Oryctolagus cuniculus: one gene and its partners. The main gene of each other region encodes a partner of the protein of the gene in region 5 in a complex. Links are inferred from orthologs where the notes say so. Each region holds a gene or a part of one and is shown on either strand. Other genes may lie near its edges.

What was found.
Region 1: the proteins of PPP2CA (region 5) and serine/threonine-protein phosphatase 2A regulatory subunit B'' subunit beta are in contact, whole or in part, in a crystal structure (PDB 4I5L), measured with the Homo sapiens proteins. The link is inferred for Oryctolagus cuniculus from reciprocal best matches to the Homo sapiens genes PPP2CA and PPP2R3B. Residues at the interface, in NP_002706.1 of Homo sapiens: Cys20, His63, Tyr91, Tyr92, Arg135, Lys136, Tyr267, Arg268, Arg294, Arg295, Gly296; in NP_037371.2 of Homo sapiens: Met410, Leu432, Asp436, Cys439, Gln440, Met441, Leu442, Asp443, Leu444, Lys446, Glu450, Gly451, Lys462, Leu463.
Region 2: PPP2CA (region 5) and STRN4 share a complex: the UniProt entries of both Homo sapiens proteins name them as parts of the core of STRIPAK complex. The link is inferred for Oryctolagus cuniculus from reciprocal best matches to the Homo sapiens genes PPP2CA and STRN4.
Region 3: PPP2CA (region 5) and STK25 share a complex: the UniProt entries of both Homo sapiens proteins name them as parts of the core of STRIPAK complex. The link is inferred for Oryctolagus cuniculus from reciprocal best matches to the Homo sapiens genes PPP2CA and STK25.
Region 4: PPP2CA (region 5) and STK24 share a complex: the UniProt entries of both Homo sapiens proteins name them as parts of the core of STRIPAK complex. The link is inferred for Oryctolagus cuniculus from reciprocal best matches to the Homo sapiens genes PPP2CA and STK24.

Annotation. Positions count from the first base shown.
Region 1 is NC_091447.1:3,609,045-3,614,126, reverse strand, and holds part of serine/threonine-protein phosphatase 2A regulatory subunit B'' subunit beta, read right to left. Parts: intron 4,749-5,082; coding exon 4,645-4,748; exon of another isoform or gene 4,389-4,644; coding exon 4,286-4,388; exon of another isoform or gene 4,062-4,285; coding exon 3,987-4,061; exon of another isoform or gene 3,753-3,986; coding exon 3,631-3,752; exon of another isoform or gene 3,536-3,630; coding exon of another isoform or gene 3,504-3,535; coding exon 3,449-3,503; exon of another isoform or gene 3,238-3,448; coding exon 3,081-3,237; exon of another isoform or gene 2,969-3,080; coding exon 2,920-2,968; exon of another isoform or gene 2,664-2,919; coding exon 2,574-2,663; exon of another isoform or gene 2,132-2,573; coding exon 1,956-2,131; exon of another isoform or gene 1,569-1,955; coding exon 1,447-1,568; exon of another isoform or gene 402-1,446; coding exon 301-401; exon of another isoform or gene 1-300. UniProt on the Homo sapiens protein: The B regulatory subunit might modulate substrate selectivity and catalytic activity, and might also direct the localization of the catalytic enzyme to a particular subcellular compartment.
Region 2 is NC_091449.1:10,663,286-10,667,187, reverse strand, and holds the end of STRN4 (striatin-4), read right to left. Parts: coding exon 3,807-3,902; intron 3,731-3,806; coding exon 3,590-3,730; intron 3,348-3,589; coding exon 3,249-3,347; intron 3,150-3,248; coding exon 3,063-3,149; intron 2,452-3,062; coding exon 2,282-2,451; 3' UTR 1,388-2,281; downstream 1-1,387. UniProt on the Homo sapiens protein: Calmodulin-binding scaffolding protein which is the center of the striatin-interacting phosphatase and kinase (STRIPAK) complexes.
Region 3 is NC_091434.1:282,688-287,769, reverse strand, and holds part of STK25 (serine/threonine-protein kinase 25), read right to left. Parts: intron 3,561-5,082; coding exon 3,330-3,560; intron 2,795-3,329; coding exon 2,738-2,794; intron 2,413-2,737; coding exon 2,304-2,412; intron 1,505-2,303; coding exon 1,347-1,504; intron 1,262-1,346; coding exon 1,076-1,261; intron 1-1,075. UniProt on the Homo sapiens protein: Oxidant stress-activated serine/threonine kinase that may play a role in the response to environmental stress.
Region 4 is NC_091440.1:14,073,756-14,078,837, forward strand, and holds part of STK24 (serine/threonine-protein kinase 24), read left to right. Parts: intron 1-1,037; coding exon 1,038-1,146; intron 1,147-1,385; coding exon 1,386-1,543; intron 1,544-5,082. UniProt on the Homo sapiens protein: Serine/threonine-protein kinase that acts on both serine and threonine residues and promotes apoptosis in response to stress stimuli and caspase activation.
Region 5 is NC_091437.1:22,497,105-22,502,186, forward strand, and holds part of PPP2CA (serine/threonine-protein phosphatase 2A catalytic subunit alpha isoform), read right to left. Parts: intron 4,057-5,082; coding exon 3,847-4,056; intron 1,050-3,846; coding exon 876-1,049; intron 139-875; coding exon 49-138; intron 1-48. UniProt on the Homo sapiens protein: Catalytic subunit of protein phosphatase 2A (PP2A), a serine/threonine phosphatase involved in the regulation of a wide variety of enzymes, signal transduction pathways, and cellular events.

The DNA of each region.
Region 1 (5,082 bases), on a different chromosome or scaffold from region 5:
GGACCCGCCCAGGTCCTGGGCTTTCCTTGTCGGGCCCCACCTCCATCTATGCCCCATCCCCCCAGCTCTACCACTTCCTCCCCAGCCCTGCCTCCCTCAGTTCCCTCCCAGCCTCACTCCAGCCCCACCCCTCTCACCGGCCCCACCTCTCCAGCTTTGCCAGACTCCTCTGAGTAGTATGAGGACAGTCCTCTGAGGTTGCTGACATCTCCTGGGGCCCCTCCACCACAGGAAGTCGTACTCCACCCTCTCTTCTCAGCCCCATCCCCAACCCCCACCCCTCCCCCATCCAGCACTAACCCGTCCTCCCACAGCTGTGCTGCTGCCTCCTCGGCCACCAGCAGTCTGTACTCGGCGGCTGCGAAACGGTCCCAGTCTGACAGCTCAGGGCCATCACCGTCCTGCAGGAGGCATGCAGTCAGCAGTGGTAATCAGCAGTCATTGGTCAGTAGAGGTCAGCAGTCAATGGTTAGCAGCAGTCAAGTAGGGGCCATCAGCAATTGGTTGGCAGCGGTCATTGGTGAGTAGTAGTAGTCAGCATTGGTTAGTGGACAGCAGTGGTCAGCGGTCAGCAGAGGTCATCAGTCATCAGATTTACAAAAGCAGTGAGGAAGATCCTTCTGCCATCATGCCTGGCCAAAGTGATGGGCAGATAGGAAGTGTTGTTGATGTCATAATATAGATAATGTCATGATGACATCAAGATGCCAATATGCTACTAGTGATGCCTCTAGTTCCAATAACATCAAACTATTACATGATGTCATGATGACATCAACATTTAGGCAGCTTAGCACATCAGCTCTGAGCTGCAAGCACATAGTTCTCCTGGGCATCATCTTAATTCACATGGAAAATACAAAAAAATGACAGAATCTAGCCATGACCATTACTTTCCTGATATTCCAGGAAATATTAAATAAAAACGATTAGGGGTGGGACCAAGCATTACCCCCTCAGCTGAAGTCCTCATGGCCACCTCCGAGGTCAGCTTTGTAAGAGAGACCAGGAGGAAGAAGACCGAGAAAAATTCATGCCAGTTAATGGGTGATTGACAAGGTCATCGGCCATCATGGTGACCCCAAAAGGCCAGCCCATCCCCCAGTGGCTCCTGTTTCCATGCCCTGGTTGAGGGCTAGGGGGTCAAAGGGTTCCTGGGTCATAGAAGACCCTGTTGGCCCCAGGCTTAAAAAACAATTCACTGGCTCCGCCCAGCTTCCCAGGGAGCCATGGGTATGAGGGGACTGCCGAGGGTTGGAGACATGGCAAGCAAAGCCAGAAATTTAGACTTAAGGAGCCGCCTGCTCAGACCCCCTCTGCTGCCAGGCAGCGGGGTGATAGAGGCCAACGGAGCTTCTTTCCTCAGGAAGTTCCCACCTCCCTGTGTCAGTGGTGTCTGTGGTCAGTAGCAGTCAGTTGTCAGCAGGGGTCAGCAGGCAGCCTCACCCCGGGCAGGGCCAACTGCTCGTGCTGTTCACGGTCCAGGTACTTGTCCACGTTGAAGAAGGTGTCAAAGAAAATGGGCGCCAGCAGCCGGCACCGCTTCAGATCGCCCAGCGTGATGCGGCCTATGGGGGTGGATGCAAGGGCATGGATGTGGGGTTGGACACCAGGGCCAGGGCCAGGGCCAGACGTGGGGGATGTACATGTGGACCCAGAGAGGCCTCAGAGAAATCAGAGTAAACGATGCAGGCAGGTGCTGGGCAGCAGGGGCACAGGAGGCCTGGATGCTGGGATGGACGTGGTGGAGGGGGATAACCCAGACGCCTTGGCCATGGCCAGAGGGGACTGCAGGACCACTCGCCAGCAACGCCCTCCAGACCCTGTGGGCAAACAGCTGGGACCTGGTAAGTGGATCTCAGCCACTGAGGACCCTGGAGATGGGGAGGGGGCAGGGCCAGCAAGGGAAGGGACCTCCATGGTGGGGGCTGGGAAGGGAAGGGGCGGGTCTCTACCCTGGGTCCTTGGCCGAACCAGGTCCAGCATCTGGCAGAGGCAGTCTGGGAAGGGCAGTGGTTCGACGTCCAGGCTGCGTAGTCGGCGGCTCTGCTCCTCATAGAAGAACTCAAGCTCAAAGGCAGACAGTGCCCCGTCCCCATCTAGGTCCATACAGCGGAACCAGTACTCGATGCTGCCCAGTTGGGTAGGTGGCAGTCAGTAGGGGAATAAACTATGTTGACCCCAGAGTGACCACTGACCACACTAGGGACACAGTCCCCACCCAGGTCCATTCAGAACTAGTACTCAATGCTGCCTTGTCAAGGGAGATGGCAGTCAGCCGCTGACCACACTAACCGTGGAGTGATCCCTGACCATGCTGCTGACCACACTGACAGCAATGTGACCACTGATCACCCAAAAGATTCTGCTCACTGATCCCCTGAGCTGACCAAGTGGGCACTGCTGACCATACTAACCCCAAAGTTACCACTGGCCACACCATGGACACTGCTGACTTCACAGAACCCAAGCTGACCACTTTCCTGACCCAGACCACACCCTGGGCCGAGGAGTGAGCCCATGGTGTCCAGCGTCATCCACTATCCGCCTGCAAGGGGGGCCCTCAGACCCACCTGGTGGGCGTGGTCTTGTCCTCCTCGGAGAGCAGGAACCACACAAAGTCCTCGTAGCTCATCTTCCCTGCTCTCTGTGCCGTCCTGTCCCTGTGGTCAGCAGTAGCCAGCAGACACACAGGCAGGTTCAGCATGGGCCACTCCCAGCTGGGGGTATCCCTGTCCAGCCCCACATGGGGAACCCAAGGAGTCCTGTGCTGGCCCTGAGTCCCCCTCCAGTGCTGTCCACACTGCCCCAATCTGGTGTGATGAATACCTGTGATGCCATCATCTGTGATGTCATCACCCATGTCATCCCTCAACACGATGGCATCACCTCTACTCCCCCGCCGGGGACCCCACCTACCGCATGACAGCACCTGAAAATATCCTGTCAATCATCTTGTCGGAGATGGCTGTGGAAGAAGAGGCAGGGCCTGTGAGCCATGCAGAGGGCAGGGCAGGAGGCTGGGGTCGGCATGGGGGGGGTCCCTGGGAAGGGGTCTTGGGGTCCCTGGGGTCCCCGACCGTGGTCGCGGTGCCGGGCCAGGTCACAGTTGCCCAGCAGGAGGTCGCAGTCAGTGTCAAGCTCACGGAAGGTACAGTAGATGACATAGACGTGCTCATAGCAGAAGAGCCCGCTTGTCAGGCTCAGGTCCGCCTCCTCCTCCAGCCGCGCCACAACCTGCGGGGAGCGGGGCTTCAGGATGGGAACGAGGTGGGGCTCAGGACCTCAGGTTGTGGAGGGTGGGTTTTCCTGCTGGGTGGGGAACTAGGGTCTCCTGTCCTAAGGGTGGAATCTTCTTTGGGGGTAGGGTCTCCTGTCCTGGGAGCAGGGACTCCTTTCCCAGGAGGCGGGGTCTCCCATCATGGTAGGTGGTTCCCACTTCCCCCACCTGCAGGAAGTGGCTCCTCCTGAGTTCATTGTAGCTGATGCGCCCGGACCAGGACCTGTTGACAGCGTAGAAGATCCGCTGGATGACCTGCGGGGCAGATGGGGTGGGGCTGGGGCTAGCAGGGGGCGGGACCAGCAGTGGCGTGTTGGCAGTGGCTGGCAGACATCCTCACCTGTGCTCACCTGAGTGTCCTCTCATCTGTCCTCACCTGAGGGCATCCTCTCACCTGAGTCCAGGGCAGCAGTGAGCAGATGGCCCGAGAGACCTGCCCCCATAAGGGGCGGAGCCACAGGGGAGGGAGGAGCTGTCACAGGGGAGGGAGGGAGGAGCTGCCACTCACAGAGGGCGGGAGGAGCCGCCACTCACAAGGAGCTGCCACTCACAGGGTGACTCTGACCAGCACAGTCGAACTTATACCCAGGTGTATTCCTCTTACTGCCCAGGACGGGGACCCAGGCAGGGTCAGGGGTCACTGCAAGGTCAGGGGTTACAGGCAGGGTTTGGGTATCACACTGGGTTTGGGGTCAGGGGTACTCACAGTGGTGATGTAGCAGGAGTGGAACTCAGGTGCCTCCTTGAGGAAGGCGAGGCCAGGGTGTGATTCTACCACATCCTGGGACACAGGAAGTGAGTGACAGGTGTGAGGTGTGTGACACGTGTGAGGTGAAGACATCCCTGTGACAGGTGTGAGGTGCGAACTCCCCTCTGACAGGTGTGACTTGATTGACAAGTATGCGGTATAACCTGTGACTGACAGCTGTGACTGAAAGGTATGAGGTTTGTGATTGATAGGTGTGACGTGTGTACCTCCCACTGGGGGAGGGGCAGGGTGCTCACCTGCAAGAAGGGGACGAAATCCTCCTGTTCCAAGAAGTCGCACCCAGGACTAGCGAGCAGGTGCAGGAACCTGGCCTCCTCATCGTGGCAGTCCTGGAGGATTCTGGAAGCATCAGCATCGTTCGGAGCCCCGTCCCCAGGAGGTGGGAGTGGGGCCTGGGTCCCCTCTGCCAATCACATGTGGGAGGCAGAGCCAGGGTCTCCTCTGGCTACTGCAGCTGGGGAGGCAGGGCCTGCCCAGGACTCCCCCTGGAGGAAGCCCTGCCCTGCCCCACCCCCCTTACACTCTCCTGCCCAGCAGGTGTAGGATCCCCAAGGCCCGCCCCCTGTCCTGCTTACCCTGCATGCCTGGGACTCACCTGCGCCACATGGCCACGAAGGTATGCACAGACACGGATCCCCCGCGGCGGCCCCCAGCCCGGTAGAATAAGGGTCCCTTCCAGTACAAAGGGCAGCCACAGGCCTGGAACACCACCAGGCAGTTACTGAGATTGCCAATGAGGGTGACAGACAGCAACGACTGGAAGGGCCTGGTCACAGGGAATGATCAGACTGTGCCACTCACAGCGACAGACAACAGCGAAAGGAAGGAACCAGATACCAGGGAGAAGAAGGATCCAGACACAGGGAGGGCAGAGGCTGTGTCACTCATGCTGTCAGACAGCAGAGATGTGAAGGAAGGGCCCGGCAACAGAGAGGGCACAGGCAATGCCACTCTGGTCAGCAGTGACAAAAGCGACCCAGCCACAGGGAGGGCACAGGCTGTCCCATCCCCAGGCCAGCACCCACCTTGGTCA
Region 2 (3,902 bases), on a different chromosome or scaffold from region 5:
GGGCGGGCGGGCGGGACGGATTCCGCCCCGCTGCGCACCGGCGTCCGGAAAGCCGGCTGTGCTCGGAGCTGCTCGGGAGGGGCGAGCTTCCCTCGCCCGCCCGCGCCGCAGGTCGCGGCGGCGGGGAGTCGCCGCAGCCGGCTGCATCCGGCGCCCACCGCAGGGGAAGGGGTCGGAAACGGGGTGGCAAGTCCCAGGGCTCAGCTCCTGCGCCCGCTCCCGCCACGCCCCCGTCCAGCTCCCAGCGACGCTGGGCAAAGAGCACGGAGCTGAGGGGACAGGTTGGGGGGGGGGGTTTCCATCCATCAGCACCCCCTGCCCCGCACACGGGAGCGCCACAGCCCTGGGGCCTGAGGGAGGACGACACGGCCACCCTACTTGGAGAGCTGTGTTCTCGGGGGCTTTAGCTGGGGGGCACCTGGTAGATGGGTCTGTAAGAGGGGGCCCCTGGGGGTCGGTGTGGCTGTCACTCGTGATTTCCAGAGGAAGCGCTGGGCACCTGGGACCACCGGGCGTTCAGGGGCCAGCATCTGCGGAGGCCCCCGGCCCCTTTCCGAACAATTCCAACTGACTTCTGTGACCAAGTAGCCCGGAGCGCTCAGCCTACACACAGGAAGCTGCAGGTTGTCCAAGCCGCCCCCCTGGGCAGGGCCGGGCCCAGGGTTGAGTGGCACAGGCATCCTGAGGGAGAGGCCACCCCTGGGCCTGGCTCGCGGCCAGCGGGGCAGCTGGGGCACAGAGGAGCCCCCCGCCCTCGGCACAGGGCTCTAGGGGGCAGCTGAAGCCGGCACGGTGCCGGTTCTGTCACCACATCCGGGGCTGGGGCTGAGGAAGGAAGGAAGTCTGAGGCTGGAGCGAAAACCCAAACCAGCACCTGGGGGAGCGGCCTGGAGCCTGGCACGCGGCAGCCAGGCCACGTGGCGCCCCCGCCCTGGCGTGCAGCTGACCCCCACGGGGAACCCACCGCCCGTGCCCTGCACCCCCAGCAGGCAGCGGGAGTGAGGCAGGCAGAGGAGGGCTCAGGGCAGGGGCTGGCTGGGGACCCCGAGCCGCCCACCCCCAGGGCTCATCTCCAACCTGCCTCAGAACACAGCGAAGTGCCAGGAGGAAGAGGTGACGCGAGGTCTGCCCAGCCGGCCCCCGACTCACCGGTCCCACGGCCTCACCGCCGCCCACCCCACGTGCCCAGGTGGGGCAGGGCACACCTGCTGGTCAGGGCTCTGCCCCTGGGGACAGCAAGGAGGGGCAGCAGGAGATGCGGTCCTGTGCCCCCACTTCCGCCCTAGGGCCCTCCTGTCCCCCTCGCCACTCTGCCACAAAACCCCAACCACAGTATCCTTCCCCCCCAACTCCGCCCAGCCAGACCCCAAAAGACCGCTCGGTCACCCACCTTACTCCAAAGGGTTTATTGAGACAAGTTTTCACATCCAAGTTCAGGGGCAGGGGGAGGGCCTTATAAACAGGAACCGAAGTGGGGACGGAGGGCACAGGGCAGACCCGAAAGAAGAGTGAAATAAATAGAGAAGAGTGGCGGGGGGGGGGGGGGGGGGAGCTGACTATCACACAGTGATAACATGGGGCGGACGCCATTACAATCCCGGTTATTTGTACAGATATACAGGGTGGGCGGGGGCCCCTCCCCCAGGCAGCTCAGGCCCTGGAGGCCTGGGTTAGTGTCTGGAAAGCAGGGGAGGGGGGCTCGGGGATTCTCCCAGTGTGGCTCCCAGCCAGGGTGGGGGGGTGGCGGGCAGGGCGGGGCCCCAGAGGAGAGAGAGCCTGGCACCTTCTGGCATCTTGGAAAAACATCCCCAAGGACCACCCACCCCACACCCGGCTACGCTGCCTTCAGGAAGGCAGTGGGTGTGGGACAGGGAGGAAGACCCCAGCGGCCGTCCTTGAGGGGCCAGCCCAGGCTGGGGTGTGGGGCAGGAGAGCCGAGGGGAGGGGCTCCCGGGGAAAGGGCCGTTAGCACCACCGGGCTCCACGCAGGCCTCTGAGCCTCGGCACGAGGCGGAGTCACCTGCAGGAGACGGGGGAGGCGGGGACGACACTGCAGCGCAGCCTCCAGTGCCCGTGCCCACGGTGGGGTCACCTCAGCAGTTCCAGCACCGGGCACTCGGGCCAAGCAGGCAGTGCCAGCGAGATGTCCGGGCCACGTGCGGGCAGGGGTGGGGTTTCTGCCTCCCCGTCCAGAGCGCAGAGGGCCCCAGCCCCTCACCTGGGCCCCCCCGGCCCGGCCCCTCTCCAGCCAGCGCAGCAGCCAGGGCGGGGCCAGTGGGCATCATACGAAGACCTTGGCCAGGGCGTCGGCGCCGGCGCTGGCAATGAGGGCCTTGCTGGGGTGGCAGGCCACGGCATGGATGGCCTCCTCGTGCTTCTTGCGGTGGGCCGTGATCTCCTGCACGCACGTCTTGTTGTCCAGGCTCCACAGGCGCAGGGAGCAGTCATGGCCTGCGCGGGCAAGGAGCTCTGAGCCCACACCTGGCCTGTCTGCGGGCCTCGGACGTGGCAGGGCCTCGACCCACCGCCCCCAGCCCCCTGCTCCATCACCTCCCAACGCCCACCCAGACGAGAGCCATCCTTCTGCACACACGGGCAGGCTTGGCCCCCTCCGCGGGGTCACCACAGCTCTGAGGACACGCCCTCCCCGCGGGGATGGGGCCCTGTGCTGTCTTCCATGCCCCACGCTGGGTGCCGCTGACCGTCCGCACAGCCGCCCTCCGAGGCCGGGCTCTCCGTGACGACCCCAGCAGCGAGAGACCGCCTGCTTCAGCCACTCGGCTAGCCCCTGCCTGACAAAGCCCCTTCCCCAAGCCCCGCTCCCCTGGATCAAGTCCTCGCCCCCTTCCAAGCCGCTGCCGGATGTGGAGAGCGGGGTGGCCCCGGCGCTCAGGCCTGCGTGGGGTTCCGCCAGCCAGGCCTGGACCGCCGTCCCCGTGTCTGTGACAGGGCATAAGCACCAGCGGCCACGACAGGCCAAGTGCCTCTGGCGGGTCCAGGCGCGGGGCTGCCCGCGTGTTCCTCTGCTCTTCCCCAACCCTGGACTGGAGGTCCCAACTTACTCCCTGACATGAGGAAGACGCCATTGGGGTCCACGGCAAGGCAGGTGACAGCATCCAGGTGGGCGACCATGGAGTGCACGGATTTACCTGGGGGGAGACGGCGGGGGGGGAGGCAGGCCCTGGAGAAGATGCGCCCACGTGGGCCCCAGAACGCCCTCTCCCTGCACTGGGGGCTGGGGCCCTCACCTGTGCGATTGTCCAGGAAGCGGATGCCCCTGTCGTCATGGGCGGTGATGGAGAGGGGCTGGCTGGGGTGGCTCACCACCTGGTTGATCTGGGTTGGGCCTGTGAAGAAAAGGGGTGAAGAGGGGAGGTGTGGAAGGGAGAACTGGGGAGACCAGAGGAGCGAGAAGAACCCGGGGGCTGCCCACTCTCTCGCGCCTCGGTCCATCTGGCAGGCGGGCACCCCAGAGCCCCAGGCGGGCCCCTCCACGGGCCTCACTTCCTTCCTGCCCTGAACCCGAGGGCACGGGGCAGCCATCTGCAGTGCCAGGCAGCTGGGCCCAGACCCACGCCGCCGCCCTTACCGCTGCTCCCCCGGGACTCCAGCGTGAGGAGGGCGCTGCCCGTCTCCAGGTCGTACAGCACGGTGTCCCCTGAGCGGAAGGCGGCCACGATGTGCGCGGGCTCGGTGCTGGTGAAGGCCACAGAGGTGGGGACGTCGTGCCCTGGGGGCAGAGGGTAAAGGCTGCCGACAGGCCGCGCCCGGGAGCAGCGCCCGCCCGGCCAGGGGCCCCCGCTCACCGCTGGCTGCAGGGAAGGTGCACAGGCAGGCCGGGCTGCCGCTGGGGTCCCAGACGCGGACGGTGCCGTCGGCGGAGCAGGAGGCCAGGCGCTGCG
Region 3 (5,082 bases), on a different chromosome or scaffold from region 5:
CTGCCCTGGGGAGGCCACACATGTGACAGGCTGGGCGCTGCCCTGGGGAGGCCACACACATGACAGGCTGGGCGCTGCCCTGGGGAGGCCACGCACGTGACAGGCTGGGCGCTGCCCCAGGGGAGGCCACGCACACGACAGGCTGGGCGCTGCCCCGGGGAGGCCACACATGTGACAGGCTGGGCGCTACCCTGGGGAGGCCACACACGTGACAGGCTGGGCGCTGCCCTGGGGAGGCCACACATGTGACAGGCTGGGCGCTGCCCTGGGGAGGCCACACACGTGACAGGCTGGGCGCTGCCCCGGGGAGGCCACACATGTGACAGGCTGGGCGCTACCCTGGGGAGGCCACACACGTGACAGGCTGGGCGCTGCCCTGGGGAGGCCACACACGTGACAGGCTGGGCGCTGCCCTGGGGAGGCCACGCACACGACAGGCTGGGCGCTGCCCCAGGGAGGCCACACATGTGACAGGCTGGGTGCTGCCCTGGGGAGGCCACACATGTGACAGGCTGGGCGCTGCCCTGGGGAGGCCACACACGTGACAGGCTGGGCGCTGCCCTGGGGAGGCCACACATGTGACAGGCTGGGCGCTACCCTGGGGAGGCCACACACGTGACAGGCTGGGCGCTGCCCTGGGGAGGCCACACACGTGACAGGCTGGGTGCTGCCCCGGGGAGGCCACACACGTGACAGGCTGGGCGCTGCCCTGGGGAGGCCACGCACACGACAGGCTGGGCGCTGCCCCGGGGAAGCCACACACGTGACAGGCTGGGCGCTGCCCTGGGGAGGCCACACATGTGACAGGCTGGGCGCTACCCTGGGGAGGCCACACACGTGACAGGCTGGGCGCTGCCCTGGGGAGGCCACACACGTGACAGGCTGGGCGCTGCCCCGGGGAGGCCACACACGTGACAGGCTGGGCGCTGCCCCAGGGAGGCCACGCACACGACAGGATGGGCACCGAGGCTGGGAGTCACCTCTGAATCCTGCTGCCCCCTGGGTGAACACCCCCCCATTCTGGGAGCTGCGCAGGCCACAGCCTGCCTGGGTCAGGGGGTGAGGCGGGCCTTACGAAGCGGGGGTCCTTGTTGAGGCAGGCCTCCACGAACTCCTTGAAGGGCTTGCTGTGGGCACCCTCCAGCGTGGGTGGGTTGTTCTTGGGGATCAGGAACAGGACTCGCATGGGGTGCAGGTCGGAGTTCGGGGGCTCCCCCTTGGCAAGTTCGATGGCTGTGATTCCCAAGGACCAGATGTCGGCCTGCACAGGGTGCCAAAAGGACCACTGCTGCGTGCGGCACCCCGAGGAGGCCACGGCACCCACAGCCCTGGCCGCTGTCACCCACCTTGAAGTCATAGGCAGACTGTTTGATGACCTCGGGCGCCATCCAGAAGGGCGTGCCCACAAACGTGTTCCTCTTGATCTGCGTGTCCGTGAGCTGCCCGGCCACCCCAAAGTCCGCCAGTTTCACGTCGCCCTGCTCAGACAGCAGCACGTTGGCGGCTGCTCGACACAGGACAGGGGCGCGTCAGCCTCAGCTCCCAGTGCCCCCAGGCAGTCCTGCGTGTGGCTGCCTGACCCAGGGACCCCCTCCCAGGTACCTAAGCTCTCCTTGGCACACTCAAACCCATGCCAACATGGGCTCCAGGGCATGACCAGCAAGAGCCCAGCAAGCCGACCCTGAACTGCCCAGCCTAAGCTCTAGGGCCCTCTCTGTACTGGCTTACCCAATGTGCCACCAGAGCAGCACCCCACAGGCTCCTGCAGAGCTGACCCTGATCCTGAACCTGACCCAAGCTGGCCAGGAAGCCCCTTGCTTGGCTGGCTGCATCCTCACAGCCTGGACAAGTCCTTCCCATGGCAGGTGCAGCCTCACGCATACAGTGAGGAGGGGGCCACACGGTGGGGTCCCACAAACCCTCTGAGCTGCACCACTGACAGCACTTCCTGGAAATGGAGCCCCCAGATGGCCACAGCCCGGCCCCCACCCCCCACGGCAGCAGGACCACAGGGCCCCCACACCCAGGCCCGTGGCAGCACGCCCACAGCACGACCCCCACCCCCCACCCCCCACGGCAGCAGGACCACAGGGCCCCCACACCCAGGCCCGTGGCAGCACGCCCACAGCACGACCCCCACCCCCCACCCCCCACGGCAGCAGGACCACAGGGCCCCCACACCCAGGCCCGTGGCAGCACGCCCACAGCCCGGCCCCCACCCCCCACCCCCCACGGCAGCAGGACCACAGGGCCCCCACACCCAGGCCCGTGGCAGCATGCCCACAGCCCGGCCCCCACAGGACCTTTGATGTCCCGGTGGATCTTGCGCTCCGAGTGCAGGTAGTCCAAGCCCTTCAGGATCTCCCGCAGGATCGTGGCGATGGAGGTCTCTTCCAGGGGGCCGGGCTTCAGCTGCACGGGAAGACGGGACAGCAGGGCCTCGGCTCCCCCACCCCCACAAGGCCGGGGCCTCGATTCCAGCCCCTCCAAGAGGGGTGCCCTGTGCACATCTGAGGCTCCAGGTCCCTCCAGGGCAGGCGAGCCTGCTTGTACCTTCACTGAAAGCCTGGCAGGGGACGGGGCCCAGCTGGACCACCCACTTGGGCGCACTGCCACCCTCCTCGACAGGGACCAGGATCCCTCCGAACACCAAATCCATTAAAACACCGAGAGGAGGCCCACGGGAGCTGTGACACCCCCCACAGCAAGCCGCCCACTATTGGGGCCCACACCTTACCAGGTCCAGTGCGGAGCCACCACCAAGGTACTCCATGATAATCCAGAGCTTGGTGCTCTGGAACACAGAGAAAGCCATTAGCTCTTGGGACCAGCACTGTGGAGTGGAGGTTAAGCCACTGCCTGCAATGCCAGCACCCCGCATGAGCAACCAGTTCAAGTGCAGCCAGCTGCTCCACTTCCAACCCAGCTCCCTGCTAACACAGCCGGACAAGCAGCAGAAGATGGCCCCCACATCTTTGTGGGAGACCCAGAGAAAGCTCCGAGCTCCCGGCTTTGGCATGGCCCAGCCCAGGCCAGCCCCAGGCACTGTAGCCACTTGGGGAGTGAACCAGCAGATAGAAGATTTCTGCCTTAAAAAATAAAGAAAAGAAACCCATTAGCTCTTGGCTGTGGCCGGGAAGCAGGCCCAGGTGTGGAGTCCACAGACCCCTCCCAGTCGCAAGTGGGGAGGAGCCAGCCAGGGCTGTCCCCCCGAGGAACCCCAACAGGAAAAGCCCCCAGCAGCCTCCTGGCTCCCCTGGCAGCGCACCCCGTGGAGCACTTGGCAGACACGGCCAGTGCTCCAGGCAGGCGCCAAGCCCCCCAGCCACCTTCAGGTAGGAGCCGAAGTAGCGGGTGATGTAGGGGCTGTCGCACTGGCTGAGCACGGTGATCTCCTGCTGGATGTCCTCGATCTCGTCCTCCGCCTCCTCCAGGTCGATGATCTTGATGGCCACCACCTCCTTGGTGTGGTTGTCGATGCCCTTGTACACCTCCCCGAACGAGCCCTTGCCGATGCGGTCCAGCTTGGTGAACAGCTCCTCGGGGTCCACGCGGGGGTGCTGCAGGGCCCAAGGGACAGGGTGGGCAACGCCGGTCAGGGGCTGGACAGGCAGAGGCTCCCCGGGGGACACACCTCAGGGACCTGCAGCAGGCACGGGGCAGTCCTTTTCTGGTTTTATCTTTTACCTTTTTTGTTCAGAAAACTACAATTCCCTCTCCTTGTAAGGCAGCAGCTCCTCAGGGAAAGACACAGAGCACCTGGGACCATGTCCACAGCTGTGCAAGATACCAGCAGGTCAGCACCCCCAGGAGGCAGGCAGGGATGCAGGGACTCTATCACCCCAAAACCATTCCTACAAAATGCCACCTAAGGCCTGGCTCTGTGGTGCAGCGGGTTAAGCCATCGCCTGTGACGCCAGCATCCCCTATGAACACGGGTTCCCGTCCTGACTACTCCAATTCCGATCTAGCTCCCTGCCAACGTGCCTGGAAAAGCAGCGGAAGATGACCCAAGTGCTTGGGCCTCTGCCACCCCGAAAGAGATCTGGATGGAGCTCCACCTCCTGGCTTCAGCCTAGCCCAGCCCCAGGCATGGCAGCCATCTGGGGAGTGAACCAGAGGACGGAAGACCCCCGTTTCTCCCCCTCTCTCTGTAACCCTGCCTTTCAAATAAACTCATAGATCTAAAAACATATTCATACAATCTATTAAGAACAACAGAACCCAACCTGTGGTGATGAGACCCTACATCACAGCCACAGCCCCTGGAGGACTTCCCCACCCCGGAACCAGGGTCACACCAGCAGAGTCCAGCACTGGCCTTTCTCAGAAGCCTGAGTCCAGGTACTCCAACTCCACAGACGCTGACCACATGGTCCTCGGGTTTAAGCAGGCAAGACGTCAGGGTCACCAGGCTCTGGTGGGGGAGGCGCCAGGTCTGCAGCCCAGGTCGCAGAGGCTGGCAGAGGGGTCCTCGGCATAAACCACCCTCTTAAGTTTGAGCCTGGGCCACCCCAGGAGCATCATCACAGCACCTCCCACGGCCAGGGTCACTCTGGGTGTCCCCCAGCCACTGCCCAGAGACCCTGGGCTCCTGAGAACACCATGCTCCAGCCACCAAGCGCTGACCAACCTCAGAAACACGGCCGGCCGAGGGTGAAGGGCAGCCCCCATACCCCAGGATCCTAGTGGCTTGCTGCCCCACAGGGGAACCTGTAGAGGTGGGAGTGGGGTTAAGGCCCTGAGTGTCATCAAGACAGAATTTTCCTTTTTTTTTTTTAAGATTTATTTTTATTTATTTGAAAGGCAGAGTTAGAGAGAGACAGAGATCTGCAGCTTCACTCCCCAAATGCCCACAACGGCCAGTGCTGGGCCAGGCCAAACCCGGAAGCCAGGAGCATCTTCCGGTCTCCAAGCCCTTGCGCCATCCTCCACTGCTTTCCCAGGCCATAGCAGGGAGCTGGATACGAAGTGGAGCAGCCAGGACTCCAACTGGCACCCACGTGGGATGCCAGCACTGCGGGCGGCGGCCCCAAGGCAAGCCCAGCCGAGTCTCCGCACCAGGAGGGGCACCACCCCCAT
Region 4 (5,082 bases), on a different chromosome or scaffold from region 5:
TTTGAGCAGGGTGCCGTGAACAAGGGCACGTGTTCTGGCATCTCTTCTTGCTTGCGTCCCGTAGGTGGTGAGAAATCTTCATTGTGAAAATGAAAATTCCTGCCTTTTGTGAACACTGAGAAGTACACGTGGAAAAGGCAGAAATGTGTTTCTTGAAAAAAACTCGTGGACAGACGACTCTGGGAGATGTCAGTTCAGGGGAGCAGAGTGTGCATATGCGGTCTCAGTCCAAGGAGAGATCTCACCTAGGGTTTGGGGTGCTTCCCGGCGGGTGGCGGCCCCAGACAGTTTGTCTCTCTCTGAGCAGCTAATAGGAAGTCAGACGAGGAAAAGCCAGCACCAGCTCTTTCAGCTGGGTCCTGAGGGGAGAAAGCCGGGAGCCCCAGGCTCCTCCTGGGTGTGTCCATGCCAGTGATCCATGGTATCAGGAGAGGCATCAAAGTCTGGGGATTGTGGTGTAGACCAGGGTGGGCCTGACAGAGGTGAGCCAGGAAGGAGTGCCTGGCGTGAGGCAGACTGTAGTGTAGGCAGTTGGGGGCGGGTCCCGGCTCCCCCCCAACACTGGGCCCCACAAAATCCTTCTGGGAGTCACTCGAGGATTCCTGAGACACAGGGAAGGCTCGTCATGTCTGTCCAGGAAATGGGCATGTGTCAGTCCCAGCGCTGCCCGAGGTAGAGCCGTCTACATTTTCATGCCTTTTGGTCTAAAGCACACTGCCCTCCTTACGACTTGCTGATGAACTCCATGAGGCCGTGTCCTGGGTCAGTGAAGGCGAGTGCTCTGGGCTGGCGGGCTGGCTGGCTGGCTGGCTGTCGGGTCCGCAGGTGCCACGTGGAGCACCCGCGTTCTGGCAGGCTCGCCCCGCCTCGCCTGTCGGCCGCAGTGCTGTTCCGCAGCCGGCTCTTGGGGTCCCTGTAGCAGCTTGTCCTGTTGACAGCAGTGCCTGTTTAAGTGCAGGTGTTCGGTGTTGCCTCTGCTGCCCGCACTGTCTGTTCCCTCACCGTCTCAGTGACAGTGTGTCTGCCTCTCTCGTCAGTTAGAGCCTGGCCCTTTGGACGAGACTCAGATCGCCACCATCCTGAGAGAGATCCTCAAAGGACTCGATTACCTGCACTCGGAGAAGAAGATCCACAGAGACATTAAAGGTGAGCACTGCGGGGCGGGGCTCCCTCCTGGGCTCCGACGGGCAGCGGAGCACTGCGGGGCGGGGCTCCCTCCTGGGCTCTGATGGACAGTGGAGTACTGCGGGGCGGGGCTCCCTCCTGAGCTCAGGTGGGCAGTGTGGTCCGTGACGGCTGTCGCGACACATGGTCCAGCTGGGGAGAGGATGTGCGTGTCTCCTCGGTGCCGTTACAGCCATCACACCTCCTGGGTTCCTTCGCAGCGGCCAATGTCCTGCTGTCCGAACACGGGGCGGTGAAGCTGGCTGATTTCGGAGTGGCGGGCCAGCTGACAGACACCCAGATCAAAAGGAACACCTTTGTGGGCACCCCCTTCTGGATGGCGCCTGAGGTCATTAAGCAGTCAGCCTACGACTCGAAGGTAAGGGCGGGCTCCAGGCAGGTGCCTGGGCTGGGCTTCCCCCTCCTGTGCCCACAGCTGCTGTGGTCAGACTGAGGCTGGCGCCTTGAAATAGGTCGTAAAAGAGGTTCTCCGACCCTGGCTGTGCCCCGTGCCTTCTGCCTCCTGCGTGCACGAGCCCCCGGCACACGCACTGTGGGTCTGAGGGTGTGGGGACACCTGACGGAGCGTGTGCCGGTGGAGGCAGGGGGACTGCGGTGCGAGGATGGGCGCGGCCTGCCTAGGAGATGCCCCGCGCAGGGCCCCGGAGGCGTGGTCTGCAGAGGGCACAGGTGGGCTTGAAGGCCGAGAGGCGTGGGCGTGGGCCAGGCCTTGGACAAGACTGATGTTTGAGGCCCCTGCATACAGGAGCCGGCGGGGGGACAGGGCGGCTGCAGGCCCTGTCCCGGAGCTGCAGAGCTGAGCCTTTGTGCTGGCTGCAGCTCCCAGCACTGAGGACTGGCCGTCCTTGCGGCATCCTGGTTCCCCGAGGCTCCCACTTGTCCGCGCTCTCACTCTCCCCGTTTCTCCTGCATTCCTTCTCCCTTTGGGAAGCCTTTTAGGGTGGACTGAAAACCCTGGGTGCTCCTTGCTGCCTGGGTCTCTGATGTAACGTCATTTCCCACCATCTGCTCCTGTGAGCGGCCTGTGCACAGTGAAAATCCTGCGTGAGCCACGGAATTGACTTTTCTGAGGCAGGAGTTTCTAGCAATGTTTAACTCAGATAGGTTTACAGGCCAGACACTGTTTCTCTTATTGTTTTTAGTTTAGCATCTTATCTGGGGCTCTGTGTATATTTACACACACAAACAACCCTCCCCCCCCCCCATTCGCCCCCATGGATTTATTCCCCAAATGCCTGCAGCAGCCAGGGCTGGGCCACACTGCAGCCAGGAGCCCAGAACTCCATGCAGATCTCTCATGTGGGTGGCAGGGCCCCAAGGACTTGAGCCATCACTGCTGCCTCCCAGGGTGCGCATTAGCAGGAGGCTGGACTAGGGAGCAGAGCCAGGACTCAGGCCCGGGCCCTCAGATGCTGGAGGCAGGTGGCCCAGGCGGCATGGTGACTGCCACGCCGAACACTCACTCCGCTTCTCCCTTTGAAACAGAAATGCTCTCAGTGTTTACTAGCTGGGCCAGCTTGCTAGCACGGTGCACAGTGCCTGGGTGACGCTCCTGTGGCCTTGCACTTGCCGTCGGCTCTCACAGGGTGTTGACGTTGTGGTTGAGGTCCTGATTCCTGTGGGGGAGGGGAAGGGTGGCTCTGGCTGTCTCTTTGTTGGGATTGTGGTCGTGGCTGGTGGGCTTTTGTCCCCTGGCAGAGCGCACATGTTGTGGGCGTTGTGTTTGTGGGTGTCTGGCCCCAGCTGTTGGGTTACCTCCGTGGTTAACCTCATCTCCACAGCACCTCTGCCATCGGCCTGTTTCCTGGGGTCATGTGATTCTGGGACCTGGCGAGAACTTAGGTCCGTGATGCATTCTCTTTGTTTTAAGCTGAAGCCCACTCATCTGATTGCAGCAGGGCTTAGACTAGACCCCAGGGTCCTAGTGCACCCACCAGGATTATCGCCCTCTTACTCTTGGTCTCAGATCAGCCGGGGTAGCTTGGCACACCACAGGTTTCAGTCTGTCAGCCACTGCCTGTGTGTCTGCTCCATGCAGGGCCTCTCTGAGTACCTGAAAACCCAGCCAGCCTGCTTCCCAGAGCCCTTGGCGACGTCGGAATGCTGCTGTCCCCCTGTGCATGTTCTCAAGGGGAGCGCACACTTGGGTGGGGAGCAGGTGACCTGAGAAACCCTGTCCCGGTCTCTGTCAGCCATGTCAAGAGCCAAATCTTCTGCTGTTTCTGTCGTACTCGGCAACCCTCCCTGGAAGTCGCTTCGCAGCAGCGTTTCAGCCAAGGCCGGCCGGAGGGGGCTTTCGTGGGCTGGGCCGGCTTGCTGCACTGCAGTGCAGGGCCGCTCTGGCTCCTGGCACACAGAGCCGCTTCTCTGTGGGTGCTTCCTCCTCCTGAGCCCGCGCCAGGTGGAGAACCTCACCCGGGGTGGCCGGGCTGCACTGGGAACGTGAAGAGTGTGCGTCCTGGGTGCATGCACCATCCCTGCCTTGCCGGTGTCTGTCTGTCTGTCTCGCTCCTTCTCCCCCCACCCCTGAAGGGACGGGGCTTGCAGACCGGCATTGTTTGTAGGCGTCTGGAACCTTATTTACCATTACAGCCTCTTTTATTTTATTTATTTTTTTGACAGGCTGAGTTGCCAGTGAGAGAGAGAGAGAGAGAGAGAGAGAGAAAGGTCTTCCTTTTGCCGTTGGTTCACCCTCCAATGGCCGCTGTGGCCGGCGCACTGCGCTGATCTGATGGCAGGAGCCAGGTGCTTCTCCTGGTCTCCCATGGGGTGCAGGGTCCAAGCACTTGGGCCATCCTCCACTGCACTCCCTGGCCACAGGAGAGAGCTGGCCTGGAAGAGGAGCAACCGGGACAGAATCCGGCGCCTCGACCGTGACTAGAACCCGGTGTGCCAACGCCGCAGGTGGAGGATTAGCCTAGTGAGCCGTAGCGCTGGCCTATCACTGCCTCTTGAACAGTGTTTCTCACCCCTTGTCACCTGGGCTGCTCGGCTGTCCTGAATGGTTCATGTGCACAGGGCTTCTGACGGGAGTCTATGTTCTTTGTCTGAAAACAGCATTGCCAGGCGCTCACTGCCCAGGCGTCTCAGGAACCTTGGTGCTTGTTAGTATTTCTAGGGTGAGTTAGGGAGGTGGTGCCCAGGGGGTACCTGTGCTCTCCCCTGAAGGAGCTTTTGGTTTTGCTAGAGCAGGGGCTTGGGCTGGAGAACGGGAGTCTCTTTGTGAGACTATTGTGATGCTTTGTTAGCAAGGGGATTGGGCCTGAGTAAAGACATTGCCCGTTTCATGTCCCTTTGTCCGGACTTACTCATGGGCTGCTGAGTGCTGTGTCCTCTGTCCTCTGTGGGGTGCTGAGTACTATGCCTTCTGCGTGGTGCTGACTACTGTGCCCCTCTGGGGTGCTGAGTACTGTACCCTCTGCAGGGTGCTGAGTACTGTGCCTTCTGTGGGGTACTGAGTACTGTGCTCTGTGCAGTCCTGGATACTGTGCCCTCTGCGGGGTGCTGAGTACTGTGTCCTCTGTGGGGTACTGAGTACTGTGCCCCTCTGCAGGGTGCTGAGTGGTGAGCCCCTCAGTGTGGTGCTGAGTGCTGTGTCCCTTGGCATGGTGTTGAGTACTGTGCCCTCTGTGGGGTGCTGAGTACTGTGTCCTCTGTGCAGTCCTGGGTACTGTGCCCCTCTGCAGGGTGCTGAGTGGTGAGCCCCTCAACGTGGTGCTGAGTGCTGTGTCCCTTGGCATGGTGTTGAGTACTGTGCCCTCTGTGGGGTGCTGAGTACTGTGTCCTCTGTGCAGTCCTGGGTACTGTGCCCTCTGCAGGGTGCTGAGTGGTGAGCCCCTCGGCGTGGTGCTTAGTGCTGTGTCCCTCTGTGGGGTGCTGAGTACTGTGCCCTCTGTG
Region 5 (5,082 bases):
TCAGAAAACTAAGAAGCTTTCTGAAAAGTTTATCAAACACAGCCATACCTCATGGGGAACTTCTTGTAAGCGGTCAAGTGCTCTGATGTGATCCAGTGTATCTATAGATGGTGAGAGGCCCCCGTGCAGACAGAAGATCTGAAAAAGAGTGGTTTCAAATGTTAATGTCACCTAAAACATTCTTCTGGATTAAGCTGCGGGCTGCAGCCCTGACTACTTGGCCCCACAGGTGTTTCTGTGCTCCATCTGAATAAGTTTCAACCTGCAGAGTCCATCTTTGCCCCAGGCCATTCTCAACTACTGAGTACACTCCCTTTCTTCCTGATAAACCATCTCAATTAACTCCTTCAAAAACAGCTTTTACAGGCAGGCAGGCTGAATAGCAGATTAACACAGCAACCGGGAAGCCTGCATGAGGGGGGGAGGGGGGGAGGGGGAGAGAGAAAGAGAGAGAAAGAGAGAGAGACAGAGACTGATTGCGATCCAGCTTTCTGTTAACACACACCCTGGAAAGGAAACGGATGATGGCTCAAGTACTTGGATCCCTTCTACTCATGTGGGAGACCTGAATGGTATTTCCAGTTCATGGTTTTGGCCTGACACAGCCCCAGGTATTGTGGGCATTTAGATAGTGATACAGCAGATGGAAGATTTCTCTCTACTTAACACCTGGGGAAGATGGTCCAAGTAACTCTTCTGAGCTGGCTTCTGCTTCTAGCTTCGACCTGGCCCAGTCACTGCCACTGTGGCCATCTGAGGAACGACCCAGCCAATACAAGATATTTTCCTCTAACTCTGCCTTTCAAATAAATAAATCTTTACAAAAAAAAAAAAAAAAAAAAAAAAAAAAAAAAAAAAAGGTTTGAGACATATACCTGCCCATCCACCAAGGCAGTGAGAGGAAGATAGTCAAAAAGATCTGTAAAATATTTCCAAACATTTGCGTTTCCATATTTTCTTAAACATTCATCATAGAAACCATAAACCTGTGTGATCTGTCTGCTCTCATGATTTCCTCGAAGAATGGTGATGCGTTCACGGTAACGAACCTACAACAACAGAATGGAAACCATGAAACAGCTTTCAAACACCAAAGGAACATTCAGGAAACTTTCTGAAACCCAGTTTTAATCATTCCATTCCCCCAATAAGAGTCCCTCCTGTCTGTCTACACTCACTCCCTACTCCCATGCTCCTACCATCCAATGATTTATCTGAGACTGCCTTTTCTACAAACTCCATAAGAAACAGAATAATGCAAAAAAAAACAAAAAAAAAAACAAAAAAACACACACAAAAAAAAACAAAAACAAAAACACATAGCTTCTGCACTAAACACCACTCAGAATATGTTCAAGGCTTATCCGTGCTGCAGTATAGATCAGTGGTTTGTTCCTCTGTGCAGCTGCAGTCTTTCACAGTACCGTTATACGGCATATTCTGTATTCATGGGTAGGAGGCACTGTTGAGTAGCTTCTTTCCTTTCTTTAGGCTATTTTGAATTTTTGCCACGATCACCTGTGTACAGTTTTTGAAGACATACGCTTTCATTTCTCTTAGACAGATTTCCAGAATATAATTTGCTTATAGTAAGTTATGCTTCACCTGTTGACAATCATTCAAAGTGACTAGACCCTTTCACATTCTCACAAGCAATGAACCAGGATGCTAATCTCTCCACATACTCACAAATACTCGGTACCTGAGCCATGCAAAATGGTATCTCATTGTGACTTGAATTTGCATTTTCCTGTTGACTAATGACGTTGTGTTTTTGTTTTCATGTACTTACCAGTCATGTATCTGCTGGGGTGAAATCTATTCAAGTATTTGTCTTTTATAAAATATCTGTTGTATTAAGGATTTTTGGAAAAAAAAATCTCAAATACATATTTTTGTTCTTAGTAATATTTTCTGAACAAAAAACCTTACTTTTTTATGAGGTCTGGTTTTTCTTTTTTTTTAAATTGATTTCCTTTTGTTAATATCTAAGAAATCTCTCAAGACCAGGAAGATTTTCTATGTTTTAACCTAGAAATCTTACAGCCATAATTCTCATATTCAGGTCTGTAATTCACTTTTATCCATCTGTCTCAGCACTACCGGCTGAAAGGACAATCCTTCCCCCACTCCTGTCTGCTCTAGCTGCTGTAACACCGCGCCATAACAGAGGAGCAGCTTAAGCAACAGAAACCTGGCGTCAGCACAGTTGGGTTTCTCTGCAGACCTCTGTGTCTGCTTTACAGAAGGGCATCGGCTCTATTTGTCTTCTCATTTTCTTCCCTGTGTCCTATCTCTTACAAGAACACCACTCATATGGGAGTAAGGTCCAGTCACATGACCCCATTTTACCTCAATCACCTCTGTAAAGGTCTCAGCTCCAACAGTCACATTCTGAGGTATTATAGGTTGGGAATTCAAAGTATGAATTCCGAGAGGACACAATTCAGCCTGTTACACCCACTTGCATCAATTCTTAAAAGGTGGCACATTCACTCTTCTCCTGGGATTCAGCCTGGGTCTACAGCACAGCTAGCTGCACACTGCTCTCACACAATCTTCCACCGCCCAGTCTCATGTCTTCATTTATAGAGGCAGAACACAATGGCCTCCAGAAATGTACCTAACATTTCCATGAGTTCAATACTAATTACCCATAATCAGCCCTTGCTGAAAGCACAACGCACTGCTTCTTTAATGTTAGAAAAGTCTATGGCAGACATTTTATCATTCTTTCTACTCTTTAATGAGACTGAATCCCAGAAAAAGAAAAAATTCCCCCTGAAGGGCAAGTCAGTTTCTTTTGGGAAAAGCTGAAACCGGCCACCTTCAGAGCTTATTTTCAGCTTTGCTTCATCTGCCTCCTGTCAACTGTGGACTTTGCAAAGCTGCATCTGATACTCAAATGATTTTGCAACTTCCCTTCTTCAATTACCATTTCCACTATCTACATTATGTCATGTTTAACAGCCACAAACTATTCTACCTCAATAAACCCTAATTTGTGGATATTTAGATGAGTACTTTCTTTTTCTGGTATTAAATACTACAATTTATTTACACAAAAATCTTTTCCTCTTCTATTTCTTCCTCAGCACCATTCTAATTACAGGATTTCTGTCAGAGGATATAAACATTCTAACATTTGATCCATTTGTACCTTTACAATATTTTGAAACTAACTAGGAAGGTAACAACTACCTTTCCATACCTGAATCTACTGAATACATTTCTATTTGGCTAGCCCTCTAAGACTGTTCAAACAATCTAAGGCATTATCTTCTCCCCACTTTTTCATTCTGTCCCAACCCTATGCTTGGAATGCAGAATCCTATAAACGTAAAACCTGAATAATTTGCATTTCTCAAGAGAATTTTGTTCTAAAATGTAACATTTAGTTAAGAGGAAAAAAATAATTACTAGGAAACAACAATCAAGAGAACTGTCTTGAGCCGGCGCCGTGGCTCAATAGGCTAATCCTCCACCTTGCGGCGCCGGCACACCGGGTTCTAGTCCCGGTTGGGGCACCGGATTCTGTCCCGGTTGCCCCTCTTCCAGGCCAGCTCTCTGCTATGGCCAGGGAGTGCAGTGGAGGATGGCCCAGGTGCTTGGGCCCTGCACCCCATGGGAGACCAGGAAAAGCACCTGGCTCCTGGCTCCTGCCAGGATCAGCGCGGTGCGCCGGCTGCAGCGGCGGCCATTGGAGGGTGAACCAGCGGCAAAGGAAGACCTTTCTCTCTCTGTCTCTCTCTCTCACTGTCCACTCTGCCTGTCAAAAAAAAAAAAAAAAAAAAAGAGAGAACTGTCTTACCCAGTTCAAAATAATCAAACATAAGCTGAAATTACCTTAAGAGCTACAAGCAGTGTAACTGTTTCAACGGAGTAATATCCTCTGTCAACATAATCTCCCATAAACAAGTAATTTGTGTCTGGTGATTTGCCACCAATTCTAAACAGTTCCATGAGATCGTGAAATTGCCCATGCACATCTCCACAGACAGTAACTGGACATCGAACCTCTTGCACGTTGGATTCTTTTGTCAGGATTTCTTTAGCCTACAGACAAAACCATAAAACAATATTTAGTATGAAATGACATTAACAAAGATACACTGAATTATATTTAATGCAGCTTAAGAGGCAAACTTGGTTTAAGATGAAATTGTCAGAATTTATGATCCTATTAAAAATAAGACATCAGATGGCTAGACTATTCCTTTGCTATCTCATCTCCGAAACCTAGAAAAAAATGTTATCAGGATGCACAGCCCATTCCCATCAATAATAGGAATGTTCAAGCCTGTCAAATGGCCATCTGATTACATACCAGAGAGTCCACCAGGGGCTGCTGTAGCAGCGCAGCAGGTTAGGCTGCCGCCTGCAACACCAGCATTCTAAGATGCAGTGCCAGTTCAGGTCCCATCTGCTCTGCTTGCAATCCAGCTCCCTGCTACTGTGCCTGGGAGGCAGCAGAGGATGGCCTTGGCATAAGTGCTTGCGACCCTGCCACATACATGGGAGACCCAAGCTGAGTTTCAGGCTCCTAACACCAGCCATGTGGGGAACGAATCAATGGATGGAAGATCCCATATCACCTCTACCCTATGTTGCTCTGCCTTTCAAATGTATGAGTAAATATACCTTAAAAAAAAAAGTTCACTTGATTTTAATAATTTTTTAATTTTTATAACACAATAAATTTTCTCTGTTCATATTTTGAAGCTTCTCTATACTACTTATACACTATCAAAACACACAGATTCTTTTTTTTTTTAAATTATTTGACAGGTAGAGTTACAGTGAGTGAGAGGAAGAGACAGCGAGAAAGGTCTTCCTTCCATTGGTTCACTCCCCTAATGGCCACTACGGCTGGAGCTGCGCCAATCCAAAGCCAAGAGCCAGGTGCTTCCTCCTGGTCTCCCATGTGGGTGCAGGGGCCCAAGCACTTGGGCCATCTTCTGCTGCTTTCTCAGGCCACGGTAGAGAGCTGGACTGGAAGAGGAGCAGCCGGGACTAGATCTGGCGCCCATATGGGATGCCAGCGCCGCAGGCAGAGGATTAACCTACCGCAGCTCTGGCCCT